2 linked regions of the Neodiprion lecontei genome follow. The protein of the gene in region 2 binds, or shares a complex with, the protein of the main gene of each other region. Links are inferred from orthologs where the notes say so. Each region holds a gene or a part of one and is shown on either strand. Other genes may lie near its edges.

Region 1 (5,182 bases), on a different chromosome or scaffold from region 2:
TCTCAGGCCTATGTTAATGAAATGCAATGGATCGATTTCTGGGTCTCCAAGTTTTACCAAAGAGTGTTGAAATCATGAAAATTGATTGTATGTCACCATTGGAGAGTAATTTAAATAAACTGTAATCAGGGTAATTTTGATCAGTCAAGAAGGAGTGAAGAGATACTTCAAAAGAAATCACCCGTTATATTCCAGATGTTTGAAATAGGCTTGTAGAAAAACAAGGAAAACTTTCCAAGTTAAAAAATTAGTGCTGATACCATTGGAAATAAGAAATTAATCATCTATCAGACGTTCAAATGGCTAGGCATTAGTGCTTAATGAATAAGAAAAATAATAATAATAATAATACAAGATCCAAGGCGAAATGCGGAAAAGAAATAAAGGAAAAAACCTACGCATCTGTTCACACAGTGTGCGCAACTTATACATATGGAGCATTCCACATACAATTAGCCTGTACCTCAACCCCTTTGATTTTAATCATTTTCGAGTATGATATTCTTACCGACTCGAAAGGGTCTCCGAATTTTGTTCTCATTTTTGTAGCATAATTTTTTTTTCATAATATTGTAAAAAAAAAAATAAAATAATTAAAAAACCAATTCTAAGATCACCATTTTCAAAAATCTGAATAAATTCATAGATTCTATGATTGGAAATGTGATTTTTAAGTACCACACGAAAATCAATATATACTATTTTTGTCGAAAGGTCCTACAACTGATGACTGGGGTCTGAACACACCTCCAGGCGAACTTTGAACTGCGCTCAGCGCCACTATCGCTACATGGTTATCAGTTTTTGAATATATATATATATATATTAGACTGTATAAAAAAAATCGACTATTTTTTTTTTGAAATTGAAGCTGAAAATAGATGCTGTTTAAGTATCGGCTCTTAATATTAATATTCGGAGGAGCCTCATTGCAATTTTCCATTTCCCATTTAAATAACATTGGAATTTTTTTTTTAAACTTCAAAATTTTATGACTCATCAACGCATTAGTGTATTGATAAGACCAAAACGTATGTTTGGAAGGAATTGCATGCTTCACAAACAAAGGTCTGTTATCATTTTATGATAAATTTACTCTGACAAAAGTTATTTAATGTCAAAGGTCAATAAAGGACCTTATATATACTTACATTAACATATGCACACACAAACACATATACATGCATGTGTGTGTGTGTAACAATTTCGACATGGAAAAACTAAAAACTTGCGCAAAAAATAGTAAATATTGAGATCCCACTATCGTGTGATGCTTAAAAATCACATTTCAAATCATGGAATTTCTGTGAATTGTTTCAGATTTATAAAAATGGCTTTTTTGGAATTTATTTTGCAATTTTTCGTAAATATCACCAGTGGCTGTAGAAAATCAAAAAATTCCCGAAACTCTTTTGGATTGGTAAGAACATCACATAATAACTAAAAATGATTAAAATCGAAGGAAGTGAGATACGTTGGCTGCTAATTTAACGTGGAATGCCCCATATACATGTAACGTCTGTGGCATACACGAGTGGGTCACGTGACATATCCACCGGCGACCGTTCGAATTATTGTTATTCATTCCGCGACACGCATCAGGCATTTCTCTTCTTTCTTTCTCTCGGATTATTCTCCTCGTCGATATCAAGCCGTGTAGTCGCCAGCATGCGAAGTGATTGCTGAATTAAGCAGCACGCATAATTATATAAGGCACAAGCGGGATCCAGGGGCCATAGTACATCGCCATTCATTTCCTGCATTCTTGTTATGGCTTACGGAATTCAATCTGTATAAAACTCTACACTTCATGAACGAGAGTTCGCGATCGGATCTATTAATTTACCCGCAAAGTGTGGATAATTTTTTTCAATACTTAAATTGGAACCTCAGATAGAAAACTGCAATGCTAATTCCGCATTCTGCTTATGGCTTGTGGGATTCAGTCTGTAAAATTTTCATTCCGTCAGCACAGGTTTCGCAGTCCGGTATGCTCACGAAGTGTGAATTTTCGTGCATAATGAGACACTAGTGGCATAATTTCAGTTCTCTTGGACCGGTAAACGGTTGATAAACGTCATATTGACGAATCAGAAATGAGGACAGACCAGAAAAAATGGCGCAACGGCTGCTGCATCCTGCTCATGACTTATGGAATTCTATGTGCAGAGGCCGTAAGGAGGGAGAGTATAGGAGGTTAACAGGGAGGGAGGAATCGACGCCATTGTGGGAGACAGAATAAAATCCAATATGGCGGACGAAAACGACAGAATGCACGTGTCACGGCTTGGAAACGGGATGAGGACGCGAAATTTTCAGGAAATCTGGGACGGACGGATAGCCTCGTAGGTTCTACAAAACTACGAACAACAATCTAGCGTCAATTACCGAAATACTGACCGTCGGCTGGCTGCTGGAAGTTAACGTATGCGTAGCCAAGGGAGCGGCGAGTGATCATATCTCTGCACACGCGTATCGACAGCACTGGGCCTGCCGATGAAAATTTTTCAAACAGCATTGCTTCGGTTATATCCGAGTGCAGATCACCGACGTACAGCGATGCCATCGGATAATTAGGCGCTCCTGGATTCATTTCTGTTCACTTTCTTACTTATCACGATCGTACGATACTTCTCGCCTTCAATATGGCTTGTTATTTGCCCGTGTGATTTTTCCCCATGCAAATTCTCTCCAGACGTTTCTTTTCTTCCTTCTATCAGCAGCTGGTATCAATGATTTTTTCACCTTCTTCTATATGCTGTATCAAAACCAACAAGGATATTTATTAGGTGTCTTATTTTATTACCGACTTTTCTTGGCCTTGGTTAATCTTCTTGATTTTAATAAATTTAATTTCCTTCCTTTTGCGAATTTTGTATATTTTTAGATATTTTTAGATTTTCTTTTTCTTATAATAAAACGCAAATAATTGTCACACACACGTTGTCTTGTTTTATTTCCGTTTCCTTCTTCTTCTTGTTAACACCTTTATTGGCTTCTTCTTTTTTTTATTATTTTCAAATCTCTATTTTTCCCTTCTTCACACAACTTGATATATCAAGGTGTTTATATCTTTTTTTAATATCTTCACAAGTTTCGCGATTTTCACACTACGGTTTTACGATTTTTTTGTTTTTTATTTTTAAAGATTTTTTATAGATTTTTTTGGGGTGGGGGATGAGGATGAGGGTTTTTTTAGTAGTGGATTTTTTGTTTTTTTTGTATTTTATGTTTTTTTAATATAGAAGAGTTAATTCACGAATGGAGGTGGGTTGTGTGACCTATTTTTTTTAGGAAAAAGGAGACACAACCACACGTGAAAACAACTCTACTCTTAATGACGAAGAGGCAGTCAGGCCGTCCGCGTCACAGTTATATACGAAACCGTAGAACGCCATTTCCTACGCCGACAAGTAGTTCCCCGATACGCACAAACCTGGAATAGTACGGTATTCAACGGTAAAAATTTATCTCGATACAATTGTTAATGCAATTGGATTTGTTTTATCAGTTTTCCATCAACTCTACAAGCATCAATAAATATTTAATCCCATTTCAATCGACTCGCGTCGTATCCAAAATTCGTCGCTATTGGCCACGCGACTGTTACGCGCTTGTTTTCAGGTACTATTTTCATTTTCACCGGACGCTGTATGCTTGCGGCGCGGAGATAATTACAGTTTCCTACGCCTACCGACTTGATAAATGAATTCGGAATCATGGTGAAAATTCAGTCAATAAATGAAAAACATTGTAATTTCCATCGTATCTGCTATATCAGCGAAAATTCGCCACATTAAATAGGCTGTTGAAGAAATTGTCCGATAAGTTGTAGCCACCCTCAGTAATCTTCAGGCAGCTCACAGCTGTCGCGTCTAGTTAGGCATCGGAATTCACAGCAGTCATGAACTACGCAGTGACGCAAGAATGTCTGTTAAAGGTGTTCCACAACACCACGGCGAGAAAAAGAAATACCAAAATGGCAAAAAAAAGCAAACGGAATCTAAGGCCCGTATTCATAGTCAGGTCTCAAGGCGGTGCTTAAGACCGTCTTGGTGAAGATCGTCTTATTCGTTCAAGACCGTCTTGAGATGCTATGTATTCATAGTCGGAAAACAAGACGGTCTTCGTCAAGAATTTGGTCTCAAGCGCTAGCTTATTTCATTCAAGACCGTCTTGACGAAGACTGAGCTTGAGACGGTCTTATTCGACGTTCGGTTATGTTCGGAATATTTCCGATGTATCCCCCAATAAGATGCTCGGATTTTATTTCTCAGCCTGTGCAAGATATTCGTATAGGCATGCAGCTCTTGAGTATTTTTATAGTTTATGAACACAACAACGTTAGCGCCACGTAGAGGAACTAAAAAACGGGAACAAATCGCGTACAATTTTTTGTAGTGGGTGTATAGCTATAAAACGAAGAAGAAGAAAAAGAATTTTATAGTGTATGTTTATGTGTATATAATTTTTATATACACATATTTTAACCTATATCATTATGTAAATCTCTATACCGGTTATTGATAAATAAATTGTATTGATATGTTAAAAGGAATCCCGGTGCAGACTTGCAAAAAAATGCGCGTGAAAGGGACAACCTTTGATCTTCAAAGTTCAAAAGAGCAACTTTAGTTCTATTTACTGGCTGTATTTATAATGTATTGAATATTTTTACGTAGACAAATTTTCATAAGTATTATCGTAACTATAAGACTGACGCTTAGTACAATTACGTACATATCAGTATTTTCATGAGTAAGTGAGGGGTTTAAAAATAAAATGAGAACCAATGATAAGTTATGAGTAAAATATGTATTCTAATGTTAACTGTTTGTACAGATTAAATTCAATTTTATTAAATATTTGGAGTATATTCATTCTAAAATCAATTAGTCTTTACAATTAAATTAACTTGATATACATATATTTTGATTAAATGAATAACCGTTCGATTAGAGCTTCGCGTATTGCAAAACCCTCTCCAGGCTGCCAATGCGGTGCTTGAGGTGGCAATTCATCCGCTTCTTCTTCCTCGATGCGATTATCTTCCGGAAGAGCATTATCCAATGTTAGTGATAAATTGTGTAGTACGGCACAAGCTACAACAATTGTGGTAGAGCACAACAATTTGGTTCCCAAACCTCGGGATAGGCAAGGAAAACGTCGCTTCCAAACTCCA
Region 2 (5,259 bases):
TCATTAAAATAAATTTTGGAATTGCTGGAATTGTTTTTTTTTGTCCTAACAAAACAAAAGTTCACCAATATTCTTAAAACTAACAATTTTTTTTGCTTTAATGCTTCATCATCGTCTTAAAACACGCCACTATAGATAGGATGTCTCTGGAAATTCGAGCGCAATAATCTAGATCAGAAAATAGAAATGAACTGAATGAACGGAAAACACGATGATTAGCGGCGATATGTTTTCAGAAAGCATTAATGTAGAAATGTGTGTACTGTTTTAGCTTGTTGACAGTGTCAGTTCTCACGTTGGGTAAAATTTTTTGTCTGTTTTGATGGAACACTGAATTCCTACCATTTTAGCATATGCGACACACGGTATAATAATTCACACGTAGTGTCTGTTAAAATCATGTGCATGTGGGATTTGTGCATAAAGTCAAAAATTTATGTTTAGATAATACAGTGTCGAAAATTGTCATATGATTCACGTTGCTGATAAAATAGAAAAAACAGTACTTGATGCATAATCAAAATTTAGAAGTATTTTGAGTATTTCAGACTGACTTAAAAAAATGAGTGGTTCTGAATAAATGTGCTCAAATTACAACGTATTGCTAGTCACACAGAGTGATGTGATTTGAGCTGTTCTCTAATTGACATGGTGAAAAGAATTTATGCAAATCTTTAGAACACGAGTAGATAAAATTAACGTTTACGTACACTGAATTAAACGTTTTTATAATGGACCATGCCTATGATGAATCTGAGCACGAAAAATTGGATAAAAGTCAGAAATAAAACAGTAAATCGAAAAACAGTTTTGAAAGCTTAGTATTGCCTGAAATTCAGTAAATTGTAATAAAGCAAGCTAAACTCATATTTTGCAAACTCAGCCTCTTAAAAGTAATTCTGAGGTTGCAAAAAAATGGTTTAGAGAGAATAATGTTTCATTATGTTGACTTTACAAACTTCATCAATTATTGTTTGTCTAACTTTCCAGGAATGGGATTACAGGGTTGCCCCTGCTTTTCTGTTACACAATTTTCTAATATTTCTAGTAACTCAGTGCTTGAAGTTTTTCAATTTTCTAAGTACAGCGTCGGTTATGGGGGTGTAGGGTATGATATTTCTAAGAATTTGCATACCTCCACTAAAGAACTTGAGGTAGATTTATATCGCTTTGAACTGAGCCTCTCGCAATAGGGCCATCAAAAATCTGTAAGGGCTATGCTGTTTTCTTCCAACAATTTACTTTCATTGCCGGCCGTATTGCGAGAGTATCTGGCAAAACTGTGGCTACGCTATATTCAACTGGAATAGTGGGAAATCCTGCTGAGGGAAGTGGCCCTATTGCGAGAGGCACTATCGAGAGAGTCGGCTATACGCTATTCCTTTTCTACACATAATAGAGATATTGTTGCCAAAAAGTGATTGATTGTTACAATTTGATATGGTAAATTTGTGTAGGGGAGGGGCTGAAAAACATTAATTTATGATTCCTGTTGCCAAAATTTTAAGGAATAATTTTGCCCGTTCATTTAAATTTTAAACATTGCTGACAAAAAACAGAGTTAATCAAGAGTAATCAAAAAACTGAGATTTTTCTGTGTTCAGTAATTGCAGGTTAATTAGACAACATTTATAGGAAATAAGTAACTTCTATCAGCTTATTATATCGACTGGATCTTAAACATGAAATATCTTTACTCATTCGATATGGCAAACATTTGAAGATAAAAACTTAAATTTCCAGATTTTCGTGAACAGAAATCTCTGATTTTTTGGCAATAATTTACATTATCGTCGACGAATATGATGAGTGAATCTTACAAATTATACCAGTAGTAACCTGAATTTCGAATCTAGGTAAACAAACGTACTTAAGTGACTGATTAAGCAATGGGAATGGTCATCATCTAATATGAGTTGCATGAAGTGTTCTAAGTTTTTGTAAATTTAATTCAATCTTTGCCGAGATGTCTTGATACATGAGCGCCATCAAGGACCACTTTAAACAGGTTTGCATCGAAATTTCGCATATATATAAGTGAATGCAAATATTCAACTTAGCCTATTTTGCTTGCTCCAATGACATTTCAAACACAAGTAATATAAAAAAGAACCTGGAAATGCACTTTGCTCTTGAATTCAATTTGAAATAAAGTATTAAAGGAACTCTCAATAGATTGAAAGCGAATGTAGGTTGGCATACTGTGCTACTTAGAACAGTATGAGCATCGTCATCGTTTGAATCTTAGACAACATCAGTGACAGATGGTATTATCTTTGAAGCAGATGATACATTTATTTAACAACTGTGAAAAGTGTATTGTTTCACCAATTCTCTTTCTGTCAAATGTAAAATGACTCAATCTATATTACCAAACATTACTCATTATCAGAAATTATTTAATTTGTTATACATTCAAGCCAATGAAATAGTAGCAACAACATTGCGAAATATTTGGTAGATTACAAGAGCTTGTCGTGAATGCAATGTTTGCAAGTTATTTGGTAATGGATATGCGGGCTACGCAACTGACGTGAACTGGTAGTGATTAGAAAAAAATGTAAGTAAATAGGATACGTTACTTTCGGAGTACTTATTGGACATGCAAATCATTTGACTCATTTGATAAACTACAACGTGCTTATCAAGCACAAAACGCTATAGTAACTGTATTAGTTTTAGTAGCTGTATAAGAAATTGGAGCAAGCAGTGTCAACCTGGCCACAGAAACGGTGTATGATTGACCTCACACGAAAGTACGTTAGTAAAATGTCCATGATGGAACGGCAGTTAGTCAGTCAGAACAATTCAATTTAGATACGCGTATGTTGATTTATAGTCGAAAGTTTCACAAAATATTGTACCGATGTATGTGTTGTGTGTGCTTCATTGTGGAGTATTTAGATTTTTTCTAACTACATTCCGTTAATTGGTATATCATATTACTTGATTTGTATTGAGACTCGCCGCAGCGTTACTGAAGAGTACTAAAAGTTGTATAATAAAACATTGTAAACTAGATTTAAAGTAACGAAGACACATAATCTTAAATTTTTTTACAAAACTCACCACGACACAGCACAGCACTGACGACATGCCGCCATGTTGAATGTCAACATTTAGCATTCACATACAAAACAAGAGCAACTGCGGAGAGATTCGGAACCACAGCCTTCTTGAGATACATCGATTATCCAGGACCCAAAGAGTATGGGATAGAGTGGATGCCAGGACCCTTGAAGTGTATGAACACTGGTGACGTCGGCGTAAACATTTATGGACAAATTGATTAATTAGATTTAATATTTTACGGCTACTTATTCTCGATGTTAGGTGGCCGTGAGCCAAAACTTTCAAGAGCTGAAACTCTGATTTAAAAAAAATAAATGAATAAGGCATTGTAGTTTACCTGATTGTAAAGTTGCATTCATAAATAATAGTGTTACTTTTGTTGGAGTACGCTGATTATTTATTTCACGTTTCAATCAAATTTGAATTTGAATTTTATGACTTTTTAAAGCCTTAACTCGCAGTCACCAGCGGGACGCTGTGGATACCAAACATGACGGATCCGTTTTGCTAGTGATTCTACTACATGCATCGAGTAAGCCATGAAGTAACTCCCGCGTGGCATCATCCCATTATTTCTACATACGAGAGGTCACCAATAGTGGCAAATGACAGCAGGTGACGGAAAGACGTCGCTGAGAAAGTGATAACTGACAAGTGTTCGCGAACCTCCAAGAGTGCGACATGGCTTACGTTTCTCAAGGTAAACGATATATTGACAATTATCGAAAATAAATATTAAAATGTCAAAAACCCAAATATAACGTAAAAAATTTTATACCAATTCTCAGATGGATCTGTGCTCCAGACTGAACCCTGGCCGCGTAGACTGGTTTCATTTTTTTTGGGAATTTTCTACATGTTTTTCATGTTGTAAGTAATAATGACATTAAGCATCCTAAGAGCCCCCCTTTTTGAATAGAAAAAACCCATCTAACCACTGCAAACGGATAGTAGGTAGGCCCACTTTTGGAACGTTTGTGATATGATTATTAACAGGCCCGAGGAAACTGTTTCAAGTTAATTCGTCATTCTGATCCAACGGTAAACTTTTGATTGAAAAACAGAATTTTTTATAAATTACAAGTGTGTAACTTCCCTTGACAATATTTTGATCCAGCCAATACTCGAGGTTATGTTCTGCAGCTAGAACATGCTTTAATTTTGTTTATCAATCAAGAATTGCCCTATACCATTTATTACCAGCATGCAAAAAAAAGTTTATGTAGTACAGAACTCTTATTCATATTTTTATTACACACCTGCTATTAAAAACAGGTGTGCAAATAAATAAATAATTGCATCAAAAGAATCGCTGTCAAACCTGTTACATTCTTCAGAGGTATTGAAGAAAGCAAAATCCATTGACAGAATTTTGTGACCTCATACTTAGATTCACAATCCGATCACTGCCGATATAAATTAACAATTAAAGACAGTTAGGTACGTCCATCTCAAAATTTTGAATGTGATATAAATAGAAGAAGCTATTTCAATATATTTGGTTGGATACTTTCATTCTTTGAATGGTCACAAACTTTTAAGCCGACCAACAATGGATTCCTGTGGTACTATAGTTGGTTACTGATATAAATTTATATTATTAATTCTGAATGATACGAGTATAATTTCTCATGATGATAGAATTTATATATTTATAGTTTCAAGTCATTCGTCAGCCCTGTTTTAAACGCTGTTGGAACATCTGAGGATTCGTACAATCAGGGCACATACAGAAGGGACTACAGGCCTGGCTCAGGGTACATTACAGTATTTATTTAGCTTAAGACTTTCTATCGTTATTAAATTATGCTATGTACAGTATGCTTCAGTAAAATGAAATGGATGATGCAATTCAAAGTTAAGAAAAAAGAATTATACTTTTTGTAAATTATGTATGTATTCATGGCATGTTCGTACACCATAGTCGTGGTACTTTAACATCACTACTTCATGCACAAAAGCGTGTTATTAATCACTTTTATTGCAATGAATATTACTCTTATTACACCAGTTTAATGAAATTTAAGATGATCGATTGTATCAGTTGACTGTGATCTAGTGATTGACTTGTTTTTTTTATTGGCCATGTTTATACTGCATTGATCTGATACAGAACAGGATTAGACAATCAATGTAGGCAAAGCAGAGAATTTATTTTAGAATCTTCCACGTGATTGGTGAACTAGA

The links. Proteins that work in one complex are often made in the same cells at the same time.
Region 1: the proteins of cold shock domain-containing protein E1 (region 2) and polyadenylate-binding protein 1 are in contact, whole or in part, in a crystal structure (PDB 7ZHR), measured with the Drosophila melanogaster proteins. The link is inferred for Neodiprion lecontei from reciprocal best matches to the Drosophila melanogaster genes Unr and pAbp. Residues at the interface, in NP_648226.2 of Drosophila melanogaster: Leu843, Glu844, Thr845, Thr846, His847, Asn848, Gly849, Val850, Glu870, Ile871, Leu872, Asp873, Glu874, Thr878, Val879, Ile880, Ser881, His883, Leu902, Ile907, Asp908; in NP_476667.1 of Drosophila melanogaster: Asn184, Tyr186, Lys188, Ser211, Lys213, Met215, Phe225, Phe227, Ala229, Tyr255, Ala257, Arg258, Ala259, Gln260, Lys261.

The regions. Positions count from the first base shown.
Region 1 is NC_060264.1:21,286,563-21,291,744, reverse strand, and holds the start of polyadenylate-binding protein 1, read right to left. Parts: upstream 3,345-5,182; 5' UTR 2,594-3,344; coding exon 2,389-2,593; intron 1-2,388. Other genes in the region: putative nuclease HARBI1, read right to left, coding at 4,936-5,182.
Region 2 is NC_060261.1:6,944,446-6,949,704, reverse strand, and holds the start of cold shock domain-containing protein E1, read right to left. Parts: upstream 3,180-5,259; 5' UTR 3,070-3,179; intron 3,044-3,069; exon of another isoform or gene 2,947-3,043; intron 2,885-2,946; exon of another isoform or gene 2,865-2,884; intron 1-2,864. Other genes in the region: selenoprotein K-like, read left to right, coding at 3,754-3,772, 3,861-3,942, 4,731-4,829. UniProt on the Drosophila melanogaster protein: RNA-binding protein that acts as a regulator of dosage compensation in both males and females.